4 linked regions of the Oryza sativa Japonica Group genome follow. Each later gene encodes a partner of the first gene's protein in a complex. Links are inferred from orthologs where the notes say so. Each region holds a gene or a part of one and is shown on either strand. Other genes may lie near its edges.

Evidence for each region.
Region 2: transcription initiation factor TFIID subunit 15b (region 1) and transcription initiation factor TFIID subunit 11 share a complex: the UniProt entries of both Arabidopsis thaliana proteins name them as parts of the TFIID complex. The link is inferred for Oryza sativa Japonica Group from reciprocal best matches to the Arabidopsis thaliana genes TAF15b and TAF11.
Region 3: transcription initiation factor TFIID subunit 15b (region 1) and transcription initiation factor TFIID subunit 13 share a complex: the UniProt entries of both Arabidopsis thaliana proteins name them as parts of the TFIID complex. The link is inferred for Oryza sativa Japonica Group from reciprocal best matches to the Arabidopsis thaliana genes TAF15b and TAF13.
Region 4: transcription initiation factor TFIID subunit 15b (region 1) and transcription initiation factor TFIID subunit 10 share a complex: the UniProt entries of both Arabidopsis thaliana proteins name them as parts of the TFIID complex. The link is inferred for Oryza sativa Japonica Group from reciprocal best matches to the Arabidopsis thaliana genes TAF15b and TAFII15.

What each region holds. Positions count from the first base shown.
Region 1 is NC_089035.1:3,328,173-3,335,647, reverse strand, and holds the start of transcription initiation factor TFIID subunit 15b, read right to left. Parts: upstream 4,210-7,475; 5' UTR 4,152-4,209; coding exon 4,100-4,151; intron 4,022-4,099; coding exon 3,751-4,021; intron 3,103-3,750; coding exon 2,235-3,102; intron 1,480-2,234; coding exon 1,329-1,479; intron 1,244-1,328; coding exon 1,165-1,243; intron 158-1,164; coding exon 49-157; 3' UTR 1-48. Other genes in the region: non-classical arabinogalactan protein 31, read left to right, coding at 5,948-6,532. UniProt on the Arabidopsis thaliana protein: TAFs are components of the transcription factor IID (TFIID) complex that is essential for mediating regulation of RNA polymerase transcription.
Region 2 is NC_089035.1:28,594,641-28,602,179, reverse strand, and holds transcription initiation factor TFIID subunit 11, read right to left. Parts: upstream 5,094-7,539; 5' UTR 5,053-5,093; coding exon 4,733-5,052; intron 4,105-4,732; coding exon 4,017-4,104; intron 3,072-4,016; coding exon 2,972-3,071; intron 2,731-2,971; coding exon 2,603-2,730; 3' UTR 2,265-2,602; downstream 1-2,264. Other genes in the region: uncharacterized protein, read right to left, coding at 465-1,370. UniProt on the Arabidopsis thaliana protein: TAFs are components of the transcription factor IID (TFIID) complex that is essential for mediating regulation of RNA polymerase transcription.
Region 3 is NC_089035.1:13,332,306-13,339,807, reverse strand, and holds transcription initiation factor TFIID subunit 13, read right to left. Parts: upstream 4,854-7,502; 5' UTR 4,811-4,853; intron 4,724-4,810; 5' UTR 4,550-4,723; coding exon 4,345-4,549; intron 4,260-4,344; coding exon 4,222-4,259; intron 3,970-4,221; coding exon 3,910-3,969; intron 2,015-3,909; coding exon 1,940-2,014; intron 1,854-1,939; coding exon 1,740-1,853; 3' UTR 1,182-1,739; downstream 1-1,181. UniProt on the Arabidopsis thaliana protein: TAFs are components of the transcription factor IID (TFIID) complex that is essential for mediating regulation of RNA polymerase transcription. May be involved in polycomb repressive complex 2 (PRC2) mediated repression.
Region 4 is NC_089043.1:20,159,265-20,166,821, forward strand, and holds transcription initiation factor TFIID subunit 10, read right to left. Parts: upstream 4,337-7,557; 5' UTR 4,186-4,336; coding exon 4,006-4,185; intron 3,910-4,005; coding exon 3,845-3,909; intron 3,504-3,844; coding exon 3,441-3,503; intron 2,858-3,440; coding exon 2,800-2,857; intron 2,713-2,799; coding exon 2,662-2,712; intron 1,230-2,661; coding exon 1,149-1,229; 3' UTR 905-1,148; downstream 1-904. UniProt on the Arabidopsis thaliana protein: TAFs are components of the transcription factor IID (TFIID) complex that is essential for mediating regulation of RNA polymerase transcription.

The sequences.
Region 1 (7,475 bases):
GAAATGGTTTCTCACAGATGACAATCTTAGTAACTATATTAGTTGCTTTCAGTATGGCCTTGAACGCGAACCACCACCTTGATGCCTGTTAGGCCCATGGCCTCCTCCATCTCTGAAGTTATCCCTGCGACCTCCACCATAGCCACCACGTCCACCTCTGCATGCCATGTAATGCAGTTGATTATACATATACAACTCGACATGAGTAATAACTTAAGTTATATATGAGCTAAAAGTGGTGTGGACAGATATTAAATACCTAAAAGGCACAACTGATAAAAATTAAACAAAAATCATTCAGTTGCCATATATTACTTGTTTTACACCATGATGTATATGCCCAAGCACATACATAAAATAACAAGTAGTGTTCACAAATATTGTGTTAAATCGAGGTATGCTAAAGATTTCAACCAACACATTGTCCCTTACACAGTCATACACTACACATTGACTTAAGACAAGTGGTTAGGACCCACCTTGTCAAGTGAGAATAAATAGATATTTACAATTATCCAGTTTCTAAAATAATACCAAACAACTTCGAATCGTGGCATGTTAGTGACATTCTTTTCTAGCTAGGCTAAAAATTACACAAAGAGGTTCAGTGAACAATGTTTAAGATCTTAACCCGGAAGTAGTACAAGTGTACATTGACTGATACATACTTGGCATTCTACTGCTCCCACATTCAACTTATTTCTACACCATGAATGTGTTATTATAAGCCCTTTGTGACAGAATGCATATGCAAATTAAGAACACATAATTGAAGTATCAGGTAAAACTACCTTACACGCTATACAAAAAAATATGATAAGAAAAGTCCCCAGATTATGTTCCACCAGAATCCAATCAATGTAATTGTGGCTTACATCACATTTCTAGCTTAAGTGCTTGGTTTTACACAGTTTTTGTAGTTGAAGAAAAAAAAGCTACACCAAAATAACATAAACAGATGGTACGTGTCATATACTCCTAATATCACAGTTTCTTAAGGGGGCAACCTACGAGCACTTTGAAGAATAGATTCAAACATCTAGGCTATCAAATTGCAACTAAAAGGGGCATGCTTTGCCCATAATAGAAGCTGTCTTGCTTGGACATAGGCACACAGCATTCCACAATCTGCATTTAGCATCTACAGAACTGAAAAGTACTTACCCATGACCATATGCAGGAGCTCTAGGAGCTGATTTCTCAGCCATCGCAACACTAATTTTATAGCCTCTCATTTCATAATCTGGAATATCAATAGAAAACATGCATTAAAAATTGCAGAACACTGTATTTATACACACATAATATAATCTCGATGCTGAACTTACTGTTATAGAATCCACCAGCTGAATGAGCAGCAGAAGGATCTTCATAGGCAAGGCAGGCATCTCCTTTATTCTTTCCAGAGTCATCAGTATAGATCTTTATGTTCCAGGGCCACTGGTCTTTGTAGCCACGTTTCTGCTTGATCCTTCCAACCTTAAGAAAAAAGCAGTTGCAAAAACTCAAAACACAGCCATGAAACACAAGCAGTTACCACCCCCAAAACTAAAGAAATTAATTTCTTGCAATAAATTTAGCTAGGAACACTAAGTAATCTGTAAAACCAACTTTACTTTATTATCAAAGATTTTACATTAACATCATGGGGTGATATGCCACGAATTATTTGGCATAAAATACCAATATGGGAGTAAAGCAAAATTACTACAAAATCATTGAATGGCTTGGTTATAACTAAAATTACAGTACTACTACTTCTACAAAAAAAAAGAGCATCATTACTGCAAGATGATTATGTTACATCAAAACAAATATCCAAATTTAATTATGCACATTGAAACACAAGGGTGTACTTCTCCACTAGCAAGGAAAAAAACAATATGTAATAAGCTCGCTCTAACTGCGCTGTATACAACAGATGGAGCAGATTTTGTGCAAAACTATGACTTGCAATGTGCTAGCAGTAGTGAAAGCAAAAGGGGAAAAAAATGTTAACAAGCCCAACTACAGATTATAAACATCATCTGAATACTGATTTGTAAATTTACTTAAATTCCAACAAGTAATATCAGTAACACTGGAAAAAGATATTATGGCGAAACACATAAAATGAAAAACATGAGGTTAGAAAAAAGACATAAAATGCACAAAATATTTCAGTGAGCGAATCGTGAAATGCACAGTTCATAAACACTAAATATGTGGGAGCTCAAGAGGAGGTCAAAGTATACCTGGCCGATTCCTCCAAATAGTTCTTGCAGTTCCTCAACAGTCACATCAGGAGGTAAGTTGGAGATGTAAATTCTTGCATTATCACAAGTCTCATCACAGTTTGCATCACACTGCTTAACCTTTGCAGCTGGCTCTGGAGCAGCACTGCCAGTGTATCCGCCGCCACCGCCGCCGCCACCACCACCACCACCACCACCATGATAGGGTGGAGGTGCACCAGGGCCTCCACCCCCAGGCATAGGCCGACCACCATACCCACCATCATATGAAGGAGGTAGGCTACCTTGGCCACCTGGAGCACCACCGCTATATGGCGGGTTCGGAGGTGGTGCACCATAACTTGGTGGATATGAACCTGGACCACCACCATAGCTACTAGGAGGTGGCACTGCAGAATCTGAATTGTATGCATTATTGCCTCCATAGGAGCTTGGAGGTGCTGCATAGTCACCACCAGGCCCACCATAGGAAGGAGGACCTTGAGGAGGAACTTGTCCATAGCTACCAGCGTCATAACCACTTTCGTCTCCCCTTTGGTTGTTCCCTTGGTCTCTTCCCCCATAACCACCCCTGCCACCACGGTGGTCATCAAATCCACGATCATCGCCACCACCTCTATTGTAACCTCCTCCTCTTCCTCCCCCTCCAGTGCCACCACCACGGCCACCAGAGTTGTAATCTCCTCCACCTCTGTTGTAGCCACCGCCACCTCCAGAACTAAAATCGCCACCACCACGATTGTAGCCTCCACCCCCTCCACCAGATTTATTATACCCTCCACCTCCACCTCCACCTCCACCTCCAGCAGGAGAAGGTGCTCCACACTTGTTGCATTCAGTCCTCCTTGCAAAGTTCACATTGCCACAACTGGAACAAGAATGATAAACAAATATATTAGGAATATTGGAAGAGAACCAATGAAATTGCAACCGAATATTCTGCAAAATATAACCAACTCAGCAAGACAACTAATGCCATATTGAAAGAAACATATTCATAAAAGAAAGTATTTACTGTATTTTGTAGTGCTTATTTACTGTATTTTGTAATGCTTCCAATAACACCATGAACTCATTTCAAAAACATATATGAAATTTCTTCTCTGCCACTCTGCTATACCAAGGAAAATAGAACATAGGGGAGGGGAAGAAATCATGGGAGACAAGTATAACATAATATTTATGTATCTAGAGGTTCAACATAAATTTAGCACTTGTGACCTAAGATTATAGGGAGCTCTCATAGAGAATGAATTATGCAGTTAACTATTTGTTGGCAGTTCTGATGCTCACAATACTACGATGAAACAAAAATTTAGTAGGACACTTCACACATGCCCCATGCAAAATCCTAAACCAAATTATCAAATAACCCAATAATTTATAATTTAACAACCTAAAAACCCTAGATTTCATGGCCAAGTAGCATAATTTACAAGACAATCGGGACAACCACGATTTCATCAGTCACAGTCGAATCAAACGAGACAACGTCAAATGAGTAAACGAAACAAACCTCGGGTCTGGGCAAACCCAGTCACCGTCACGTCCTCCACCCCTCCCGCCGCCACCTCGGCCACCGCCACCCCCACCCCCACCTCTCCCGCCGCCGCCACCGCCGCCGTAGCCTCCTCCTCCACCGCCACCTCTACCACCGCCGCCGTACCCTCCGCCACCGCCGCCATATCCTCCGCCACCACCACCATATCCACCTCCCACACCACCACCACCATATCCTCCCCCTCCTCCTCCGCCACCTCCCCTCCCACGGCCGCCTCCGCCGCCACCTACAAAAAAAACCACAAGCCAGTCAGGAGCAGATCCAGAAGCAAGCACGCACACAACCCGCAGGATCCCGACGCGACCTCGGCCGCCGTAGCCGCCGCGGTAGTCGTCGGATCCGTACGACCCCGACATGGTCACGCGCCTAGGGTTTGGGAGCGTTCCGGAAGGGCAAGTGCGAACAGAGTATTCCGAATTTCTGATACGTGTGTGGATTAGGGCAGAAGTAAGCAGTCGAAAGAGATGGATTTGGGCCGGAATTAAACGGGAGTCGAATTCTCTCGCTGCGTGTGGGCCTGGATTGCTGGGGTGTACATGTAATGGGCTGTATATTGGGGATCACTCAAGGCCCATTGGGAATTTTCTTTGGTGGGTGTTTGGCCCAGCCCATTAATAATATTCACTAGCCTTTTGTGGACAAATGAAAGTGTCAAAATTTATTACTACCTCCATCCCAAATTAGATATCGTTTTGACTTTTTGCTTGCAATATTCGACCATTCGTCTTATTTAAAAAATAATGCAAACCTAAAAAGGATAAGTCATACTTAAGGTATTTTGATAATAAAACAAGTCACAAACAAAATAAATAATAATAACATAATCTTTTAAATAAGACGAATGGTCAAACATTACAAATAAAAAACTCAAAACGACGAATATTCTAGAATGGAGGTAGTATATTTTTGAGCGGAGGGAATAGTTAAGAGTACTGATGTTAAACCTGTGTCTTATATATCTGTTTGTTATTGTTTTTTCCTAGTTAGAGCAGGGCTAACCTTACCATCAGGGGTTGAGTTACCGCACCCAATCGTAAGCACGGTAATCACACGGTAAACCATGAAAAACTAGACGATGCTATTAGAAGTTCATATTATTATGTAAATTTATTTGAATTTGACGGGATAAGTTACTATTAGTGTATCCAAAGGTAAGTCCGGTTACCGCGGAAACCGCACAATAACAAGCGATATTGTCGATTTATGACCTGTTTGGAATGTGAAGTGAGAATTGTCTTCTACTCTTCCATAAATCAAATCTTTAGGACAGCACATATAAGTGATATACAAAAATGATTAGGCTCTTCAGACATGTAAACTTAATCGGATAATTTCTCCCTCAAGATGAAAAACAAGAACTAGAGCACATATTGCTCTTGATGGGATGGAGATGCTACGTTTTGTGAATTTTTGGGTAAGCTCGATTAGTCAGACTTCCTTTCCATCCAGTAACTTTCGCCTTAAACTCTCCTACTCCTATGTAGAAACAATCAGAAAATTCTCTTACTCCAGTGCTCTCTGTTTATCTTTCAGTCGGTTTCAGACAAAACATGGACGCACATCATGCTCCTACATGAACTGCACATTTTACAGATAAAATAAGATGTCAGTTCGTTTTCAGATTATAAAACAAGTTGTCGCTCTGCCGGCAAAATTGATTATTTTGCGCGGCATTGCGTTGGGGAACATCTCTCTGCCTACACGGAGAACCAGATATTGCAGTTGAAGTCTTGAGGACACACGCGGGCAGCACGTTCTCTGACAAATCTGCATATCATCCTTCTGAACATTCGTTATCTATGTCAGACTGACCAATCGCCAAACAGATTACAAGCATGCGATTTCTTCTCTTAAAAATGCCCATGGTGACCAATCATTACATATTGTCTTTCTTTTCATTTCGACAGGTCAATCATTGTACGTATAATATTGTCACAATTTTACAATAATGTATAATAAAACGTAATCTTAATCAAAACCAAGACATTTTCCAGGACAAACATGGCCACCACTTCGGGCTTCGGCCATCTACATGTCCGCACGTTTGATCCATGGCAGTATATAAAACCCCAAGCCTCTCTCCATCTCGACACAGCCAAAAAAAAGCTTCACACAAACCATCTCAGTCGAGCTTACACCAAGCTCCGCATCAATGGCTGCCTTCCTCCACCTCGCCATCCTCGTCTCCCTCCTGGCCGCCGGCGCCACCGCCAACAACGGCTACACCACACCATCGCCACCGCCACCACCGCAGCACACGCCGCCGCCATCGCCACCGCCACCGGCGCCAGCGGCGCACCAAAGCAGCGACAAGGTGCTAGTGAGGGTGGAGGGGAAGGTGTACTGCCAGAGCTGCGAGCACCGCAACTCGTGGAGCCTCGACGGCGCGAGGCCGCTGCGCGGGGCGGAGGTGTCGGTCACCTGCCGCGACGCCAAGAACCGGGCGGCGTGGTGGAGGCTGGCCGTCGCCGACGAGAGCGGCTACTTCCTCGCGGAGTTCGGCGTCACCAGGGCGTCCGACTTCCTCGGCGCCGACCCGCGGGGGGCGTGCTACGCGCGGCTGCTGTCGTCGCCGGACCGCAAGTGCGACGGCCTCACCAACATCAACGCCGGCATGGTGGGCGCGCCGCTCCGCGACGAGGGCAAGCGGTGGCCGGGGCAGGGCTACGACAACGTCGTCTACGCCGCCGGCCCGCTCGCCTTCCGGCCGGCGAACTGCCCGCCCAAGCACTACTAGATGCGCCCGCCGCGGCCGCCCCCATGCGTGTGGCGCGCGCGCACTCTCGTGCTTTTGAATTGGGAGAGGTCGTCGTTGGGTGTGCGAAATTTAATTTGGACGGAGAATATATCCTGGTTTATTTTGTGATTCTGTTCTAATTGAATTGGTGGTGTTATTATGTGATTCTTTTGTAAGTTGATATTGTTGTGGTTCTACCAGTTTTACGGCAAATTAATCAAACTTGATGTCATTTTTGTTGGGAAAAAAAGATAACCCCGCGAGTATATAATTTTCGGCTCCATCGTTTCGCTTATAAGCGAAAGGTCATATTTACAACAAAAAAGAATATGAATAAAATTTTTACATATGTGTTCTTAGCGATCTAAAAGCAAAGGCTGGAAAATAAACTTCGACGAAAAAAAATATCCTAAAATCAATTATAAATTTAAGGTTTAAAATTTAAAATTTGACTGATAAGTATAAGCATAAGCGAAAAAATGATGCCGATAATTTGCTTCAGATATCAGGCTAATGGGCCTTGTGGATAATGCTGCGGGGCACTAGGTCGTGATTTTGACGGCCCACACGAGCTGAGTAACTCTCTACGTGAAGTGAAATTTTATGATCCATGAAAAAGTACCTCAAGTACCTAAATAAAAATATATTTTGGTACCTCAAGAGTCAAGATACATGGAGATACCAAGCTTAATTTACACAAGAAAAACTCCCAATAATTTCTTAAGGATGGTAAACCGTAAACCCTTATGTGAATTAGTGAGATCAGTGGTAGGATAGAGCGGCCTCTAACAAGGAGCTAGTCCTAGCTAGCTGCTGGCTAGGGGCGTGTGGTACTGTGCACATAAATTATAGTCACCGGCTCAACGCACCGGTATGGCGACACACCACACAAACATTACACAAGTTAACAACGAAGATGAACAGTTAACAACGAAGATGAACA
Region 2 (7,539 bases), about 25 Mb from region 1:
TCTTATGCCCCTCAAAAGTTCACGCTTTTTTTTTTGTCATTCCAGCTTGACGAGCTGTAGTGCACCACATATGTACCTGTAGTGCACTATTGCTGTACTGACAAAGAGTAGGCAGAACAACAGCGCCAGCACGGCGAAGGAATAGAAGGAGAAGGAGAAGAAGGTCAGTTCTTCTGCCTGTCCACATCAGCGTCTGATGCTTCTTGCTATCAGTAGACAACAAGGCCAGAAATTTCATCTCAATTTTCATGGTTTGGTTCCTGAAGAAACCAAGTGATTTTTTTTTTGTTTTGATTTGCATGAAGTTGTGAGTTGTGATTGTCAGGTGAACATGACCAAGACAAAAAAGAGGCAAAGTGCACCTGACCGGGAGAAGGAAATTGTGATAAGAGTCTGACGAACTGACGATGAATCAATCCATTCTGAATGCTGAAATCTCTCAGTTTTTCTTCTTCTTCTCAAATTTAGAGTATCCTGAACCATGAGCCGAGGAAGGGGAAGAGTGCCACGAGAAGGCGCGTCAGCAGTGGCGCCTGGTTATACCTCATGCTGCTGCTGCTTCTTCCTCGCGACATGCCGCCATTGCTGCGTCGTGGACCTCTCCTCGCCCGCAATCCCAGTCCCAGATCGGAGGCGGCAGCAGCCGCCGCCGTGTCGGGCTCCGGTGGCGTCCTCTTCTTCCCTGAGCTCTCCTGCTCCTTCTTCTCCTCATCGTCGTAGAGGAGGTCATCCCATCCTCCAAAACCGGAGCCGGATTCGGTCGATTGCTGGTGGCTCCTGCTCCGCCATTGCCATGCCCCGGCATCATAGTAGTCGCCGTCGTCGTCGTCTTCCTCTCGGCGTTGGAAGGCGGGATCGTCATCGTAGTCGTATCCGTACGACTCCTCCTCCTCCTGCTGCCGACGACTCCTGGTGGTGAAGAAGGAGACGACCCAGGAGATGGCGGACTGGGCGAGCGGCAGCGCCATGGCCATGAGGAAAGCTCTGGGCCCCGTGGCCACCAGCATGGACGCCAGCAGCAGCGGCAGCACGTAGCCGTACGCACGGAAGAGCTTGGAAAACCATGGCTCGCCGAACAGCTCCTGCGCTGACCCGCCTGGCGCGCCGCCGTCGTCGTATCCGTATCCCTCCTCGTCGTCCTCTTCCTCCATGTCCTCGTCGGACCACCACCGCCTCCTCCCGTTCGCCGCCGCCGTCGTCCTCCAGGGTCCCTCCGAGCGATGGCAGCGGCAGCGAGGCAGCTGCAGGGGGGGCACTGGGCGGTTGGATTGGGAGGCCGTTGCTGGTGCTGGAGCTGGTCCTACTCCGACGAGCCGTCCCCGTCCAAGAGGAGGACGAGGCGGCGGCGGCGGCGGCAGCGGCATAGCCATTGCCTAGCTTACGACAAGGCAAGGCAAGACGGACAAGGGATAACGATCGAGTGGCTGTGTGGACTGGAGTGGACAAGACAAGCAGGAGGTTAGTAAGGTCTTTTCGCTGCTCTAATTCATCACAACGAAATATAGCAAACCTTGCATCAGCTTGACATTTTTCCCTTCCAATAGTTTGAACCAAGAATGCAGCAGCTGTAACAGGGTCTACAAACAAACACAACTGGTGTGTTTAGTTCACGTTAAAATTGAAAGTTTGATTGAAATTGGAACGATGTGACGAAAATGTTAGAAGTTTATGTATGTAGGAAAGTTTTGATGTGATGGAAAAGTTGGAAGTTTGAAGAAAACATTGAGAACTAAACCAAGGCTGTGTTTAGTTTCTGAAATTAGAGAGAAGTTTAGAGAAAGTTGGTAGTTTGGGAAAAAAAGTTAGGATTTTATGTAAGTAGAAAAGTTTTGGATGGGATGTGATGGAAAGTTAGGAGTTTGGGAGAAGTTTAGTGTGAACACCTAGGCCTGAACCAAAACATGTTCTCAAAATAATTAAAAAACACCAAAACATCAATAGAAAGAAGACATGATCAAGATGTACCAGTGATGTCAAGTAACTAGATGCAGCCAGCCACTTCCAAAAATGAAACGAAGAAAAATAAGAAAGGATGAGATCCCCATAAACAATTGCCTAATTTCAGAATCATCGACAATACCAATACACACAATGCTCAAGGAACACAATGCCGGCGTAAATGCTCCCGCCGAAGCTGCAGCCTGCAGGACATAAGATCCTGCATAGCATCCGATCTTGAAATAGCAGAAAGACACTTCGTTTAAAAAATCGATTAGTTACAACGGCAAGAGTTCTACGTATAAAAATAGCAGAAAGACACATCGTTTGGGTTAAAACGAGGGTCGCATTTAATTGCAGACAAGCATATAATCAGATTCAGCGCATACTCCAAACAGCATAGTACACAGTTCAACTATTCATAAGCCTGAAAATTCACAGCCTACGGCCAATACTTTATACATAGAATTTTCCACGGCTAGTAGTACCGTAGTACTTCAGCTTGTACGTACTGTTTGCTCTGGTTCCCTTGCTGCGACAGAAATCACAGTAACAATTTCACAAAGCTGAAGAAATACATCTCATGTCATTCTCTCTTTCCGCGCATCTGACCGCAGAAAGGACCATCTCAGTGTCGACTGGGATCAACAGAGATGCTTCAATTCTAACGGAAGAGCCTGGGAACAGTCCGCCGTGGGATCTTCCCTTCAAGTTTCAATCTTCTGTAGGCTTCTCTGATGTGGCAAGGCCTTACTGGTCCAGAATCTTTCCTCTCAGTCATAACTATTCTAGCTGCAACAGACACAATCGAATTGTCAAAAATAAAGTGAATAAAGCCATCCCTCCTTTTTCTTCTGATGTCAGAGAACAAGTTTATGGAAAGCAGAAAAGGACATTTGAACACGGACGATTACAAAAGATCAGTCATAAGAGTGATTTGCTTTAAGAGATGAGCATACATCAAAATCATAGGTGCTTTGGTGGTAGTGTTCTATGAGCAACAAAGTAAATAAGATAATTACTCTAGACTTGCCTGTTTCAACAAGCTCACCAACAAACATCTTTGCAATTCCTGATACTACAATTGTTGTTGGTAGAGAAATCTTTTGACTGCCAGTAATGCTCGCCAATAGCTGCATGGAAACAGAATATCAAATCAACTTTAAAAAAACATGGGTGTAGCTATATTTATGGCGTCATATTTTTCATCAAAAAATAGTCGGCATGTATTTACATTGTAAGTCCCTAAATTACATATGTAATTTTAGTGTATTTACAATGTAAGTCTCAAAATTACATATGTAAGTAATAAAATTACATATGTAAATTCGAAATTACATACTAATTACATATGTAAATGGGGTGTAAATGAGGTGTAACTACTGTGTAAGTGGTTAAAAAAAATCGACTGTAGCATATGGCGCCATATTTCTAGCAACTCCGAAAAACATTCCAATAACGCAGTGATCTCATATTTCAACCACTGATGAGGAAATACATTAAAGCACTTGTCCCTCTGACTAGAACGTAATTTCAAAGCATTGTTAACTTCAGGCATTCAACAGCCAAAAGTAACATTTTTACCGAGAAAAAGGTCAAACTTTGGATTGACACTACAAAAAGGCTTTCTTAGCCTGCCTATAAATTGAAGAAAAGAATATTGACCAAGTTTGGTTTTTTATTTAGAGAGTGTACATCACTTACAATCAGTAGAAACGATGACATAGGCAAAAATGTATTTATCTACAACTTGGAGCGAAATCAACTGTCCTGTACATGAAGCTCTATCAACAATTTGGACAAGACATGCATGGTACATTGTACAACTCATGGTATGCATCCACAAAAGAAACATGAACCAAAATAGAACAGGTGTTATTCAACAGAAAATAAGGTAACTGTAAGACTTAAGAAAGCAGAAAATGTTAATGTGATCCACATTTTGTGGAAAGCTTTTATTGCAAAGGGGAACACTGAAGCCAATTCAGATGGAGGCGCCACACGCATCACACGCACATGATATTGCAGTTTATACTTGTACGATATTAAATCAATGGATGTTGGGAATGAGATCATACCTTTTTCATGTTAGATTTCTGGAATCCAGATCTGCGGAATGACTCATACCGGTTCATCTGGTCTTCTGTAAATTGAGACAGTATGGCACTGGAAAAGGAGTACATAGTTTTTCAAACATAGAATTCTTATTTAGATGGGTTTAATATTTCACTATATATATTGGAACATAAATCTGAGAAGTGCATAATGTCAGGATGTTCTGTAAATAAAATCACAAACAATTGAGAACAATCCCCTTTTCCAATTCAGAAATCTCCACTAGTACAAATCTTACTGTCACAAATTAACCAAAGTTGAACGGTGAAGGACACCAAAATACACTGAACTTGATCAAGAACATATTCTCAATAGACAGTCATATGGTTCCTAACTTTAACTGATCTTTATGCCAGTAAACGCTTCACATATAGCTGGAAACTGGGACTACAGTCTTTATGAAGTGAATAATGTCAGGTTGTTCTGTAACTACAATCACGAACAATCCTTACTCCAATTCAGAAATTTCCACTAGTACAAATCTTACTGTCACAAATTAACCAAAGTTAAAAGGGTGAAGGACGCTAAAACACTGAACTCGATCAAAGAACGTATATACTCAACAGACGGTCATATGGTTCCTGAATTTAGTTGATCCTTATGCAGTTAACCCTTCATATATAGCACGCACCAGAAGAAGGCAAAACTAGGTTTAGGATGAGCGCAGCCAAGCACCTACTTCATCTTGGCGAGCTTGTCGGGGTCGCTGGTGCCGGAGGGCAGCTTGTCGAGGTCGACCTCCATGTGGTCCTCCTCGTCATCCTCCTCCTCCTGCTGCTCCTTCTGGACCCGCACCACCTTACCCCTCGCCGCGGCCGCGGCGGCACCACCGGAGCCCGATGGCGCGGCCCTCGAAGGAGGCAGCCGCAGCGGAGGCCCGCGCGACCCGCTGGCGCCGTCGTATCCCTCGGGCGCCCCGGCCGCGTCCTCCTCGTTCGCCGCCGGCGACTCCGGCGGCGACTCCTGCTCCTCCACCGCCGCCTCGAACGGGTCCTTCATGGCCGCGGCTGGAGACGAATCGCAAGAGTCCAGAGTCTTCTGAAAATTTTTGGGCCGGGGTTGACCTACCTGCTCGCCGCCGCCGGGCTTGGTGGGCTGCTTCGCGCGTGGGCCTTTTTCTCGGGCCGGATTTCTGGGCCGATTTCTCCGTGGCGGCCGCGAGAATTTTCACCGGTGAATCAAATCGCTCGTGCCGAACGCGCCACCGCTGAGCAGCTCACGCCTCACGGCGCGTGCAGCAGCGGCGGAAACAAATTCTCTAACTGACATATGAATTTTGCAGTTCGTGAACCTACATATTAACGACGTACTCCCTCCGTCTTATAAAAGACCAACTTAGTACTAGATATAACACATCCTAATACCATAAATTTGAACACACTATACTAGAATATATCACATATAATCCTAGATTCCTTTTTTACGTCAGAGAACAACATCAGAGGAGCATTCTTTCAGCAACGGCAGATGTTACACGCTTATACACAGTTGAAACCGTGATGTGGCCTACCTCCGATGCGGACCTTACAATGGCCGGGCGCAAAGTAAAGAAAAAAGGAACAAAAAAAAACAGGATTACTACTACTACCATCATCAGAACAGCAACAAAAAAGTTTCATCTTTTCGTTCGAGACGTATCACATCGTGCAACAGGTTTTCGGGACCAGAAAACTCCCAAGCCGTGGGCACTGACCCACCGAGAGACCCATCCTGAGAACGATGCATCAAACGTGTGCAATAAAAAGCTTAAGCAGCTACAAAAACAACAACCCCGATCGATCACGCTGGGATTTGGGCATTCAGGAGGAGGATAGGATTTGCTTTGCCCCCCTCTCACAGCTTTTGCATTACCTCCGTATCGCGCCTTGTTTAGTGGAGGCCGTTTTGTTTATTGCCGCTAATCCTAACGCATAGGATTCTCGCTCGCTCACCATTGACCTCCTCTTTGCCCAAGCAAAGCCTCGCCATTAGATTACTTACCCAGATCACACAACAATATTCTTCGCTAGTTCTTGCAGCTCTCTCTCCCCTGAATAAAATTGACGGCACAAAGGTGCTTTCTGGCGCCGATCACTTTGCTCCACGAATATAAAAAACAACATACTATATGCACACACATATATACTATCATACTCCGTATGATACATCATACATGTGAATATAAAACGACGAGAGCCACATATATCGTCGTGTTTTTTTTTCCGCTTTGCTGGTGATGAGAGTGAATATTCGACCGGCTGTTCGTCTGAGGCTCGTCTGACCAAACTCCCGCTATCATTGCCGATTATTATTCCTCGCTTCGGTTGCGCTGATCGCTTTCAGCAACAGGGGGGGAGGGGGGGGGGGTGCGACAAACAAAAAGAGATGCCCAGCTCGTGTATATCTCTCGAAGACTCCCAAAGCTGTGTGTGTGTATATATATATATATATATATATATATATATATATATATATATATATATGGGGCACCATGGTGCCCGGGCACCATGGTATCTAATGCACAAAATCACTCAAAATTTTCAAAATTTTTAAATTGTGAGTATATACCTAGTTATAATAATTTGATTCATACCTATACTTATCAACAAAACAACTCAAATTTAACTTTATTTCATAATCCATGATTACATACCTAACTAATTATATGTATGGATGCTATATACCTAGAATCAAAATATAACAAAAACAAGTTCAAATTCAGTTCAAACTTGCTTTAAACTAGTTAGTAAAGTAGTTAATGTTAATACCTAAGTAATTGAAAAAGTTTCATACTCATTTGAATTGGGTATATACTCAATTTCAACAATGGTGCCCGGACACCATGGAGCACCAAACAAATTTAATATATATATATATATATATATATATATATATATATATATATATATATATATATATATATATATATATATATATATATATATATATATATATATATATAGAGAGAGAGAGAGAGAGAGAGAGAGAGAGAGAGAGAGAGAGTCCTGCCTCCAACTGGTAGCGTATAAAATATCATCGTACGCTTGTACTAAATGGAGGTCGTATCTGCGACGGGATCGTAGCCAGCCAGGCCTGATCTCCTGCTATACTACCTGCAATGCAAGTCCTGGCTGGAGCTGCAAAAGTGTAGCCTTGTCCGGTTGTCCCCTGTTCAGGGGCGTACGTGTCGAGCTCCGGCGATCTCTGCTGCCGCCGGGACGGCCGGCCGGGTGCGTCCGTGCGTGGTTGGGATCTCACAAGGTGGAGCTCGCCACTGTCTCGCTGCTGGAGCTGTGTGACGCATGGCGATACGCCCCTCTTCTGATTGAGAGAATGATAATTCTATACTCATCCGTCCCATAATACAAAGGATTTTATATAAATATGACACATCTTAGTGTAATAAGTCTAATAAGTCTAGACCGTCGTACTAGGATATACCACATTCACCCAATATCTCTTATATCATAGGACGGGAGGAGTATAAGGTGTTAGGAGGTACTATAT
Region 3 (7,502 bases), about 10 Mb from region 1:
GCAGTTTAGCCCCTCGCGGAGTTGTCATTTGTCGAGACGATCTGGCCACATATCGTCAACATGTCAACATAGTTAGGTGATCCTCTTTTTTTTTTCATTTGTGTTCTTATCTCTTGCTCTGTTTATCCTGAATGTACGATAACTTAGTTAGGATATAATAATACTCAGTTAGGATATACTATACGATATATGCTACAATATTATGTATAATTTATCCCCTCAAAAGAAATTTTTATCTATTGTTTTAAAAATTAAATAATCATAAATATGCTAATATATCCAATGTTTATCAAATGCAACAATAGTCTCTCAACAGTGAGGAAGAGAGCAAGTAAAACTAGAAGTCCTTGATATGTGGACACTCTACGCACATAATGCAGGTGTGAACCATCCTTTTGTCAACACTAACTACTCATCAAAGTGTGCCACGTAAATATAACAAGCTAGTGCCTATACTCCAATTTTTTTCATACTCAAATTTCAATCAAATTTATAGATAAATTTAGCAATATTTATAATATAAAATTAGTTTCACTAAAACTAAGTTTTAATATATTCTAATAATATGTTAATTTTGCGTTAGAAATATTGCTATATTTTTCTATAAATTTAATCAACTTTAAAAAATTTGAAAAAAAATCAAAGTGACTTATAACACGAAATAGAGAGTATCTATTACAACAAATAGAATAGCTTGTGGACTGGGTCTGTTCGGCAGGCAGCAGGCAGGTGCAGCCGCTGGCCTTTTTTGCTTGTGAAAGCTTGCTTCACTGTTCGTATAGGCTGCAGCACTGCTGCAGCCGAACACACCCATGCAAAAGGAGCACTTTTTTTTTTTTTGTCCCAGGGTGAAAAGGAAATATTTTGTGTTATGCGCCAATGAATAAGCTTATCGTCTGCGCAACCAAGCAAACCATTACTCTGCCTTTACTTGCTAAAGATAGAGAAGCGCAGCACTATGACTTTAGGATATTTTTAACAGTCCGATCTATCGCGAACGAAGGAGATCTGTTCCCTCTCATATGAACCGTACTCATCTGCAGTAATGTAGACGATCCAGATGCCTTTGTAGCACATCATAGCCTAATTACTAATTGGAAAATCTAAGAATGTCCGAACGGGTGTTTAGCCTAACGCACGACCATGCACCCCAGTCGCGTCCTTTTAAAACACAAAGGCAATAATACCATCGTTTGGGACTTTAGATTAAAACAAAAGGTAATTACCAAATGCCATCGGCTGCCTGGGTTGCGGCTGCCGATCAGGCATTCACGCCCGCAATTGCCCCAAACATGATTATCTTATCCCATAACAATACCAAACCAAAGCCTTGTTTGGATCCAGATGGCTAATAATTAGCCCTCCAGAATCTTACTATTTAAGAATATTAAACGTAGATTACTGATAAAATTCATTCCATAACTCCTGGGCTAATTTACGAGACAAATCTAATAAGCCTAATTAATCCATGTTTTGCTACAGTAATAATCCGCTAAGTATGGATTAATATATCTCGTTAGATTCGTCTTGCAAATTAGCCCAAGAGTTATGGAATGGATTTTGTCAGTAACCTAGGTTTAATACTCCTAAATAGGATGACAGTTTGCACAATGTTTCATTACTCTCCTAAAAATGTAGTACATAATGTAATGGATGCACATCTTCTGCAGGAGAAATGATCATCGTACGACTAGTTTCCGTACTACACATAGTTTTTGCCGGGGTTTCTCCAAGAGAAATCACTCGTTATTTGTTGCCAATGTCTCTTCATTCACATCAAAAGCTTTTCTTGCCTGCTTGAGCTCTTCATTCATGGAGAGTAGCTCAGTGGCACGGTGCAGTTTCCGCACATCCTAGAAAGAAAGTACAGAGATAAATTTTAATATGACCTAATCAACTGTATTGCAAGCAACTTCACATGTGGAGTTCAGAAATGTACCTTGCGAATGAGGTAAAGAAAATCTTCTGTCAAGAGCTTGCCCCTCTTTGATGCAACGTTCTGGGCCTTGTGGACCTAAGAAAGTGCACATTATACAGTCAACAGTTACGGAATCATAAATAAACATTACATACACATATGGTTTTATCCACATGCAGGTATTTAAAATCAAATAAAAAATTACAGTTAACTAAATTCTTGTGTTTGGTGTGTATTTCTGCTGTTACAGAGTGCATACTAGATTGTAGTCATGTAAAAATTTTGTCCAACAACCTGGGGCAAAGTAAGTCTGCAGGGTAAACAGACCTAATAAATTCATATCGTCGCGTATTCAGATCACGCATGGACAAATTATCTACAAAAATATATTCAGACAAGTGGGGCATGTTTAGATATCTTCACCCCATGTCACAGGTACATTTCATTTACACTATGCACGATTACAAACTCAAGGTTCCATATCATGCAGGAAAGTAGACTATATAGAGACTTTAAAGAAAATGCCTTTCTTAATATAGTTTACAGATAATTTAAGCAGGGAAGAACTGCCAAAAGATGGCAAAGCTCTATGAATCATTAACAAAAAGGGCTCCACAAGAGATGCAAATCCTGGTGATAACTATAACCGTTGCTGAACAGGTATGGAGTGTACCAGCCAGAACAATTTAAATTGGAGTGAATTGCACCTTGGGCTAGGAATATTTACCCAACTTTCTATTTGAACCATATGCTCTAGCCAATGTTTTTACTTTGGATTATGTATGTTTGCCTCTATGTTGCAATTTGGGCTTATATAACTGTCTGTAGAACTCTTTCTCCACCCGCAGTTCTACCAATGCCATCACAATCGCTACACTCTGCCTATGCACAGTAATCCACCAGCTCCAGCTTTTGCTCAGCCTCGAGCTCCACTAGTGTTAGCCCCTGATTTGAGCTCAAGATGCTCCACCATAGCGCTGAGACGGTGTTCCGGCCAGTGGGTGCAAGAGCAGGGGATGGTCAGGTGATTAGCATGGAGAGGTCTGGAAGGTTTGTCACTGTATGAAGCTCTTCAACTTATCTGGTGGTTTATGATTGAGAAGGGAACTGAGGATGGAAAAAGTTAATTAAGGCTTTTATTTGTGGTGGACTAGCTGAGAAAGGCTTGGCAAGATGCTCCACCATAGCGGCCTGCACAAATGAGCTGCCGCAACGAGAGCACATGATGGCGCACAAGGAGAGGAGACGAGAGGACTGACGAGGAAGATGACTATATGGAGGCTGACGTGTGGGACTAATGGTCCAAAGTGCAAAATTTGATACCATAAGCTGGTTCAAAGTGAAAACCTTTGATAATACCTAATCCAATGTGCAACTTAGGAAATAAAATCTAGTCCAAAGTACAGTTCACACTTAAATTAAAGTTCAGATTTGAGACCATAAGAATAAAGTATAACTTTATATTTTCTTGAAATTTCATGTACAGGTACACTAGTTTACTTTCATATGCCGGATCTGAATTATTACATATTAGCATGCAAAAAGTTCGAATCCAATATTTTTATCACAAAACTGGTTTACTGCCGGTAACTAGCTGGTAACTGGTTTTTTGATTCAAAATTTTGGAATCGAACTTTTGTCCAGTAGAGACCTGGCAACTTATTTTCCAGAGGGAGTAGTTCTTTTTTCCCGAAACCAGTGTTCAAACTTCAAGCCCTTGGGCTCTACACAAATATGAACTATAGGTTAAAGTGAAGCCCCTATTAATTCTCAAAACATAAAAGGCTTCATGTTTCCCGACAAACAGAAGCACTGAACCTAATCACTCTTTCCAGAAAACTACCTAATCACTCTTTCCAGAACACTAGAATTGAATTAAATAAGGCAACAAATAAGGATGTCGAAATCCAAATAAACTCCTTTCATCCATACAACCTTCATAAATGTAATTTCAGTAGAAAACAAGAAAGACAAATACAATGAAAGCTTACCAGGTCAGTGACATATTCTACAACAATGTCCTCCACAAGTGCAACAGTTTCTGGAAGCGGCTGCAAAACCAACAGAAAGATGTCATTTACATACAAGATTTTAACTTAAAAGGTAGAACAGCATGTCCATTCTTTCTTAGGCAATCATGTAGTTGTGTTGTAAATCCATGGCCTACTTGCAATTATTGTCGTTGTCGGTGTTAATTACCTCCAATGTTCCACAACACAAAGTACACAAATTGCATCCTATCCCCAAACAATTCCTAGCCTGAAAATTAAGAGATGAAAGGCATAGATCGAGGTCGGGCTTACATTTGGATCATCCCCAAATCCGTACATCATGTGCTGCACTGCAAGAACGGGGAAAAATGCAGCATAAACAACGAATTCGAAGAACAGCAGCAGTACTAAAGTTTAGAAAAAACAGTGCCGTACGGTCTTTCTGGAAGACGCCGCGCTTGCGCTTGAGGGTGGTGGCGGACGCGTCGGCGCCGCCGCCGCCGCCGCCGCCGCCGCCGGAGTGGTGGTGGTGGTGGTGGTGGGAGCTCCCCTGGCCCGACGCCGACGCGGCGGCAGCGGTCGAGGACTTGGACTTGGCCGCCGAGGCCGGGCTAGCGTGGTGGCCGCCAGGGTTCTGCATCCCGGCGGAAGAGCGAAGGACGCGAGGGGTGAGGGAGGGAGACGGACGCCGCCCGCCCCCTCTTCCCGACGGCCGGCGGCGCTCCCCTCCCCTTCCCTTCGCTCCTCGCCGCCGCTTGGATTTAGGGCTTTCGCGTGCACTATGCACAGCCGTGATGGATTTCTGAGGGGCGAACTGGAAGGAAACGAGTGGAGTCAGCCTCACACTAGCGGCGGAGCGTAAGGCCGGGAAGGGGGAGAGGCAATCGCGGCGGAAGCGTACCGGCGGCGAAGGGAAGGAAGCAGCTGGTGAGCGTACCGGCGGCGATTCGAGAATTTTCCGGTCCTTGCGGCTTGTATGGTATGATTTGGAGTTTACACGAGGGAATTGCGGATGAGATTAAGATGAGAATTTAATTTTTAATCCTAATATCTTGTTTGGTAGAGATGATAAAAATTGATAAGGAGTTTAGTTAGAGATTAGGTCATTAATAAAAATGGATGGCTGAGATTTGCTTAGACAAAGTAAAGGAGGAATTCCCTCCCAATTACCTGCCGTATTGAAAAGGAGGGATCTACATCCCACCAAAATTCTTATGTCTCCCAACCAAACAAAACACTTAATAGCCTCATCCCTCTAAACTCCCAATCCCTCCTGAAAACTCTCTCCAACCAAACGGGCCATTTGAGAAATTTTGCAACACACCATATTGTCCAGTTTTGCATTACCGTTTTCGAGTGAAGACCGGTTTGTATCGGTTTGGTAAAAAAAACAATAAGAATAGCAATTTTTAATCAATTTCATACGAAAATTGCTACTCACTCCGTTCCAAAATATAACAACCTGTACTAGATGAGACATATCTTAGTACAATGAATCTGGACAGAGGTACAAGGTTGCTATATTTGAGGGAGTAAAACCACTTAGTTTTCGTAAACCAGTCCCCACGGCATTTTTACGAGAACTGGGTGATTTTCAGTCAGTGATTGCAACATTAGACTTGAGATACAGGAGAGCATAGATAAAGAAGACATGAGCCACTTAAAGATAAAGGAGAAATAACACTTTCAAAAATATTAGAGCACTTAAAAAAGGATAATGAGTTAGTACTTAGAAATGTGAAGAAAATGGTTCATATAGGGAAAGGACGAGGAACAGGCAAATTATTGTACCTATGGCTAGATCTGATAATAGAGAGTAGAGCGTCAACAACTCGACAATAATGATAACCAAATAGCTAAACGTTTCCAATAGAAAGTTAGAAGTCAATGTTGGAGCACTTGCCACCGCCGCTAAAGAGATGGCTAAATCTAAGTGCCATTAAAATTAGATCATGGCGATGTGCTTAAGGACCGATGACGATGAATGAACAAGGATTTGCAATGGGACCTACAACTAGATTAGTGGTTGTGGTGGTAATGTGCACAAGGAGAAAGAGTGGCAAACCTCTGGTCTTAAATGACATGACAACTTGCAACTTGATATCTTAACTCTTTCAATACTCCAAAGTAATATTCTTGGAAGATATGGACCTAATGAGAAACGGGTGGAGATATGAATTCATCTTTTTTCAATGGCAACTTCATTTTTAGAATGTTCCTCAATGCCCTTTTTTTTTAATTCCTAAAACTTGTTGCCTACCTCCCACTTTGTTTTTTTTTTTGTTATCTTTGGTACTAAGGAATTGACTTTATGCCACCGAGTTTAGTACTCCATCCGTCTCAAAATATAACAACTTCTAACATTCAAAATTTATCCCAGAATATAACAACTTCTTCACCTACAATCTCTTCTCAACCAATCACAATCTTCCACCATTCAAATTCTCCACCAACTTTCTCTTGTCAACCAATCACAACTTTCTTTCGTTTAATTCTACATACCTTCTTAATATCTGTGTCCAAACCTAAAACTCTCTGTATTTTGGGAGGGAGGTAGTAGCTTTTGTTCCCTCCAAAAAGAAATTTTAGTAGCTTTTGTTTAATTATTATTGAGTATATTCACGGTGACAATATACCACTAATTTTACAGGGAACTGATATTATGCTATTGTGGACAGCTTTAGCACCAAGCAGTATATTTAAGTACTCTTCATGGTCGAATTTATTTAGCGTTGGGAAAACTGAGGACCAAATACATTTTACTGAAGTAAGTTATTACCATGAGTAGCATGAGTAACCATTTGTTTTAAATTACATGGTTTGCATTCATATATACTCCCTCCATCCCACAATATGGTATGCTAGAATCGGATTGCATGTATCATACTACTACGAACCTCGTAGTACTAGAATAGGTCTCATTTGATTCTAAATTATTATATTATGAAATAGAAGGAATATACTAGTTAACTAGGATAGTTCTCATCCAATTCTAGGTTTAGGTATGAAAATATATTCAATCATTGATTTGATGAAACTAATTTGTCTATAAACTTAGTCAAACTTAAAAATAGTTTGACTTTAACTAAAATCAAAAACACTTATAACCGGAAACGGAGGGGAAGGTAACCTGAGTTAGACAAGACAACAGTCACTAAACAATGGTCATTGATGAAAGTTGTGTTTGTTAATTATTTGTCTTTCACATTTTCGTGTGGAGAATCGGTTGCAATATTTTTTGCATGTTAGGGTGTTATTTTCTTCATTTGCTTTATTTCTTTTCTTGATTGAGCAATGAGTTTATTATCCATGGTTCGCATTTCAATGCACCAAGGCATTCTTTTGCTTAGGGTTTCCCAAACCGTAGGGGCCGGGGTTACCGCGTGGTAACCGTGAAAAACCGTGCAAAATTTATCAAAAATTCAAATTATTTTTTAATTTTATTTGAATTTAAGGAGGTTACCGCAGTATTTATATTACCGTACCCCCACGGTAAGCCCGGTAACCGCAGTAACCGCGCGGTAACGTAAACCCTGCTTTTGCTCCGTTGATTTGTGCAAATTCTTTTATCAAAAGTGTTACATTTAAAAACA
Region 4 (7,557 bases), on another chromosome or scaffold:
AACTTACTTTTTGGAACATCAGGTAGAAATTTATTTCATGTATGACAAATTAACAATCCAAGGTCAAGCATGCACCACGACACTGTACTGCCGTCTGAAGTATACATGAGCCGACCTTTGCAGGTTCATGTTGCTATATGTGGACGGTCAAGAACATTTGCACTCAATTTCAATTGCAAGGTACACTAATGTTCAATGAACAAATGATTGGGAAAGGACACTTACCCTTCCACTTAAGGGCGTGGCTATCAGGCTATGGCTCTGAGAGACTCAGAGCATGAAAGTTGCTGACAGAATGAGCTGCATAAACAGACACTTCGGTTAGTTATTATGCTATGAAAACTATACAATTATTTGTCAGAAAACATATGTATGAAATCTTAATAATTAGATTGTCCAATAACCCACTCGACTAATCTAGCGTAATCATGGCCCTTTATTTAGTTTATACCTGGGTTTTTCTGTGTGACAATGTCACGAAGTTCACTGTTAACTTAAATAGCTCTTGGATGACAAGTTGACAGGATATACCTTTTGTATTTCAGCAATGCATTCTTACACTATTTCAGACGCTATACACATTGTATGCAGATTTGACTTGTGTTCCTGCAATATAATAATGAGAAGATAAGGTAGACCTACCTGATCTCCAGATCACTCCCAGGCCCCAGATCACTCCCAGACCTCCCTGCGGTTTTCACTGAGAAATGATGTTTGCCAACGTAACATCAAGAAACAAAGTAGTGAAAAGCTATAGCATGTTGCATTTTCACTGAGAAATGATGTTTGCCAACGCAACATCAAGAAACAAAGTAGTGAAAAGCTATAGCATGTTGCAAAGTCAATTAGTTTTCAGCTGTCAAGGATCCACCAGGCAATTTAAAACAGGTTTCACACAGAGGAATCAATCAGCACAGATAGTACTTCATACTAAGTACAGAAGCAACCAGTGGTATTAGACTATTAGTTACAAGCTAATGGTCAATAGTATATCAAGGAACAGACATCAGGTTGTAATAAGGTCGGTAAGGATGCTGACAGGTTCATTCATTTGCATGCTGTAATAAGGTTGGGTAAGGATGCCGACATGGTCATTCATTTGCATGCTCCCTACATAGTCCCTGGTTTCACTTTGAGTTCAGTTGAGTCTACTCTTCTCTTGCTGCAGGAGCCATTCCTGCAGAAGGGCTGTCTGCGAAGTACTCAGGATGTTTCAAGTTCACACCGTGCTGCAAGGAAATAAGTATGGTGCACATCAGAAATTAAGCATTGGTATACATGTTTGGTAAAAAGGAGCCTACTAGCCTATAGTCAGTGGTTACCAGCTTACTGCACCACCATAGAGGATTTGATGTACACATTTGTGATCTATATTGGCATTTGACACGGGAGTAAAAAGTGCCAGTTTCTCAAAATGCATCAAACATAAATGCCTAATTAGGATAATTAGGAGTTACAATACTAAACGCTGGACAATGGTAATCTAATTCTATCAAATGACGTGATGATCTACTGATAGCTGCCAGCATGTTAGAAAACAAAAATAAATCTCAAATTGGTAGTATGTGGAACAAACATATTTCATGAAAGCACAAAGCTTCTATAATGATAGCTCATCTGTAGAGCATTACAGTCCAGAGTTATGTGATATTGTGACATGTCAAGGATGCCCTTTTGTGTGAGGTTTCGTGTGTAGAAGGTAGATTGATTCTGAACCATGGAATTGTAAACATAAGTGTACTGACCATGATGTGATTATAGCTGAATCAGTCATTTGCCAAGAATATTGCTGGGAAGGGAAAGCATAGAAGATCATTTGTCAAATAGACCTGTATATGAGCAGCTCATCCCTGTATATGAGCAGCTCATCCCAGGTCTGCTTAAATGCTTATTTCATGTACTATAATGTATGTGTTCTGGGGAGTGGATTCTAATCCCTCGAGGGGATGTCCCCTCGTATATATTTTTCTTTCAAAATCAATGCAAATATAGTTGTTAAAAATTCTGAAAAATATTGACAATGTAGAGTACAATTATATCTAATAGTCCACCAAAAATAAAGTTCAAATTCGACCTACACATCGAGAACCCAAAAAGACAAATTCAGATATTAACAGTGCGGTACTATTTATACGCTGAATTTGTCTTTTTTTATATCTCGATGTGTGAGTTGAATTTGGACTTAAGATTTTGTGAAGTTGTATAGATATGTTGTATAAGTGTTGTCAAATTTTTCTAGAATTTTTCATAACCGTTTAGATGATTTTTAAGCGGCACATCCCCTCAAGGGATCAAAATAGTTTCCCATTTGTTCTTCTGGTAAAATATTCCAATACAAGTAGGCTGTGACTGATTGTTGAGTTGATTAGTCTATCTGAATTGTGATTAATCGTGAGCATCGTGAAGCATATACAACTGATCAATTTGGCTACTTGTTTCATTAAAAAAAACATTAACAAGTAATCCCATTGGTCTAAAAAAGGTTAACTAAATCCATTCTACAGTAGATTTATTAATGCAGAGATTCAAGTCCTAATAAAACTAATAATTGCAATTATACGTCAAACTGAATAAACTGTGACTTCAATCACGTAAAGTACAGTGGTAACTGGTGAGCTGCAGTAAAAGGGAAAGCTTAAATTCAACAGGAAAATGGTTTACCTCTTGCAAGGCCTTGGAAAGATCATCCATTGTTAACACAAGACGCCTATCCTGAAGAACAGAATGACTGAACCAGTAAATAAAAGTACTGATTTCATGCTAGTAGTACCATGGTACACCAACTGCAATTAAACCCACCTTAGGTTGCTTGCTCTTGTTATCTTTGATAGGTGCTGCTACCCTGGCTTTGCAGTGCCTAGTTCAGGACAATAATCATGTGATGAACAAATTAGTGTGCATGATACCTTTTAACTGTCACAAGTTATGATACAAGCAACACCATAAGAAGCTTGACTTTACACATAAAGTTTCAGTCAGTACTGAAATTAGATTCCCTACCACATCAATGTTATGCATATTTCGCAATCTATTGTCTTAACAATATAGACATAAGATACCATGTTTGATGTTTCATTCCATGGTCATAATGTGAGAAGGATGATAGAAACAAAAAAAAGGAAGCACAAAGAAGATGCAAGTTGACAGTATGAAGAAAACAAGCCTAAAATCAACATGGTTATCTCAAAAAGCTGCCAGCATAGGAGAAATGAGGCTACTCAACATCTCAAGAATGAAGCATATTGCATACACCTCCATTTATGAATGATGCAAGAAACCTCATGGTTCATGACCATCATCAGAAATCATATTTCTCATTCACTATCTGAAGGTAACGAAAATTCGACTCCAAGAATCGATAACCACTAAAAAGGAACAAAATAATCGCACATACGTTTAAGTTGGAAAACAAAACGAATGAGGCAGTAAAAGTTACATACTGAAGAGAGTCGCTTGCAATGTCCGAAATGAACTTTTGGGTGGCTACAGCAACCAGCCTCGTTCTGCAGAGAACACAAAAATTATGGTTCATAAGGCCATGCTGTCACACATGACGACCAACAATCACCAAGCTGAAAGGGATACAGCGATTTTCTCCCTCGACTAGAATGGCAACACGCTGCATTACAATGCAATCCTAACAGCCTCAATCAGATCTAACTGTCACCATGTTGTACGTACTAAGAATCAGGCAAAATTCAGTCCAAATCTCTTCAGTGATTTCCGGGCACTGGACGAATTTCAGTTTAATAACTACCAATTGGCCCATCCTGGAAGGCACGGTGCAGTCTTCCTGAAAGAGAGAAGAGATTGAACTATTGGAGAGATAGATGGGGGTGCTTACAGGCGGAGGTCGGGGCAGTAGAAGCCGCTGCGGCCAAGGTAGTGCTCCACCAGCTCGTCGGGAATCTGCCGCACCACCACCACCACCACCACCACCACCGCATCAGACACGAAACCCAAGAGAGGGGGAAGCTAGGGCAAGATGGGCGGCAGGCGCCGTACCGTAGGGGTGTAGTCCATGAGGGAGGAGAGGAACTCGGTGAGGACCGCCTCGTCGTCGTGCCGCCCGTCTCCGCCGCCGCCGCCGCCGGCGGCGGCTGCCCCCATGGGCCCTCCTCCCCCCATGCCCCCCGGAACCATGGCGCCACCGCCGCCTCCGCCTGCGCTGTTGCTCCCCATCATCCTCTGGTCCCCCGCCTTCGCCGGAGGAGCTAGTGGGGTTTGAGATCTGGCACGTCGGCGGGGAAGTTCGCCGCCGATGGACCAGGAAGAGCGGCGGGAGTCGTCGTCGTCGCCGGAGGCTCGAGAAGGAGGGGGGAAGAGGGAGGGGAGTGGTGGGCTGTACTCCGGCCCTTTTGGTAATAAGCGTAGGATGGGCGGAGTTCAGGCCCGTTTGGAAAAAAAAGGGATAAGTCTATTTTACACCTATGAAGTCTTCGTTTTTGTCTAAAACTAGAAAAAAAAAGTCTATGCATTGGAACGGGTAAATGCTATTTTAATTTTATTGTTGTTATACGGTTTAGCTACGGTAAAATTCACTGTGAAAATTTGATTGGATATTTTTTCAGAAAATCATGAGCTGCAATTAGGAGACCGTATTTAATTTGAAGTTAGCATGTGAGTTTTTTTAAAAGATTTCTTATACGACTTACTTCCAATAGGAAATAAGCTTAAAATCTAACTCAAACACGGTTCTGTATTTTCAAAAGTGAACGAACTTAAAAACCGACTCAAATATGGATGACAAACCAAAATTCTAGCAAAAACATCTTCAGTTTTTATAATAGTAGAGATACACCCAATACTCTAAAGCCGGATATTTCACACCCTCTAACTTTTAATACCATTCACTTTATACCCCCTGAGCGGTTTACACCACGTCAGCAGGTCCTACAGTCTTCTTTCACCTTCCCCTCTCTTTCGACTCCCTCCCTCTATGAGCTTGAGGCAGCCATGACGAGATGGACGGAGCTGCGAGCTAGATGCGAGCATAGAGAAGAAAGGGGTCGGCGGAGAGCTTCGTGCCGAGCCCACCCCCTTGGTCGTGCTCGGAAGAAAAGGAAGGTTGGCAGCAAGCTCGATGTGGAGCTTGCCCCTTGGCTGAGGTCAGAGAAGAGGGGGGTTGGCGGCGAGCTTGGAGAAGAGGAACTGCTGAGCACGGAGAAGACGGGATCACCAGCAAGTTCCAAGGAGGGTTGATGGGCAGTAATCGGCCCCTCCTACCCAAGCTTCGATGTCATCATAAGCTCTGAGATCCGCTGCCACTCGTCCTATCCAAGTGTTGCTGTCATCGTAGACCCAGAGCTCTCCCCCCCCCAACACCCACTTGCCGAGGTCAGAGAAGACAAGTGCCAGCAGCACAACCTCGATCCCACGATAAGCTCAATGAAGGAGCCGATGCCGCTGGGCCTGCTACACAAGCTCAGGGAAGTCGTCGGCACTCGCCTCATTGAGCTCAGGGAGGTTGCCTCGCTACTCTACTTGTTAAGCTCGGGAACTCATCAACGGCCTTCTACCCTCGTCATTCATCTCGAAGAGGAGAAGGAGAGGAAAGAGGAAGAAGAAGAGTAAGAGGAAAGAGGGGAGGTGGCCTACGGGTCCCACCTTTTTATGTTCTTTTATAGCTAAGTTTCCATGTAGGCACCACATAAGAAAATTTGCGTTGGTTTCCACTAAGGGGCTAAAATTAGACGGTTTGAAAAGTTAGAGGGTGTCAAATACTCAGTTTTAGAGTTTGGGGGTTTATTTTAGACAAAGCGAAGAGTTCGGAGTTGTCAAATGGACTTATCCCATTTGAAAATCATCCAAATAATATAATACAAAGAGAAGTTGCAACAAGGAAACATAACCGTTATATGCTATCAAGAAAAGGTCAATTATATGATTTATTGTCAAGTAGCAAGATTTTCTTTACAATTTCACTTAAGTCAAAGAAACACCACTATTTATGTTTGCCATCAGCTACTAAGTTACATTCACTGATGTCTAGTAGAAAGCGTCATTTTACTCATGCAATGTAGCATACCATCACTGAACTAAGATTCACGGGATAATGCATATTGCATACCAACTCTTACTCCTCAATGGTGACTAGGGCGGATGATCTAGCACGGTCAGGGAATACGTTAAGACGATATGATCTCACCTCTAATGTTTGTCCTTGTGATGGATACCTTAAGCACCTTGTTTGCCAAGGCAAAAGAGGAGGGCTTACTGCAGCCGATCCCAATCCCGCACCGCATATCCCTTTCGGAAAACAATGTGGTGCTCTTTCTCCGCGACCAACCAAGACTTCCAAGTGGCAAAGAAAATACTAAACTTGTTCGAGGAGGCAACAAGTTGCAGACAAACTTTAGCAAGTGTGTCAACAATCCTGATCAAATGGAGCGACAATGACATCGAGCTAGGGGTGGTAATGGATCAATCCCCACGAGTTCTTTCACAACCCTACCTAGACCTCATATACTTTTAGTTCGAAAATGAATAGAAATTCAACCTACCCATTTTAGGCCTAGCCCTCAAATTTTGTAGGCTAAAATGTTAGGCCCTTTACCACCCCTACATCGAGCTCATCCGCAGCGAGCTGCCTTACGAGGTGAGGTGTTTCCCTTACTAATACCTAGGCATACCCCTGTTGACCAAGAAGCTAAGGGAAGAAGATCTCCAGCTCCTGGTGGATTTGGTCGCTAGACGTTTGTCATCCTAGAAAGTAGGGCAGCTCACGCCTGCCAGGAGAGTAGCACTAGTCAAATTAGTTCTGAGCTCTATTCCCATCTACACACTAATCATCATTTCACCACCTAAACGGGTGATTAAGGGGATTGATCGAATTCGCTAAGAATTCCTTTGGATTGGTAGGGTAAGACACTGTTGGCTCGCTTGGGACAAAGTTTGTGCTCCAAAGTAGTACGACGGGTTGAACATTCACAACCTACATCTTATAGGGGTCTCATTGTGCTCTCGGTGGATCTAGTCGTCATGCACAGACAACGACAAAGCTGTGGTGGGGGCTACCTAGTGGCGGAGCCACAAATTACTAAAGAGTAGGGCTAACCTGGGGCTTAACTAATGAGTTATTGATTTTTATCTAACATTACATGGTGATTTAACCTAATTTATGTATGATTTTGGAGGCAAGCCTAGGGCTCAAGCCCAAGTTGCCCTAGGCTTGCCTCTGCCCCTGGGGCTACCAATGCAGGTCTCCAACTTGGAGAAAGATTTCGCTGTAGCATCCATCATCTGCCAGTTGGGAGATCGTAATTAGAGTATCCTCTTCAAGGAAGATCAATGGCTACAAAGCACTGACCTCCAAAGTCTTGCACCACCGCTTCATCGGATGGTACCGACAAGGATTCGATGGAGGTGGATGGTGCAGGAGGCTCTGAGTGACCGGCGTTGGATTGATGACCTCTAGGGAAGCTTAACTATTTAGACGGTCATGGACTGCCTAAAGGCCTGACCGATGATTTCCTCAGTTGTTTTGAGCCAAGAGCAACCATACTCCATCACCAGGCGTTGGCAGAGCTCTGGCTACTACTCCACGGGGTCTACTTA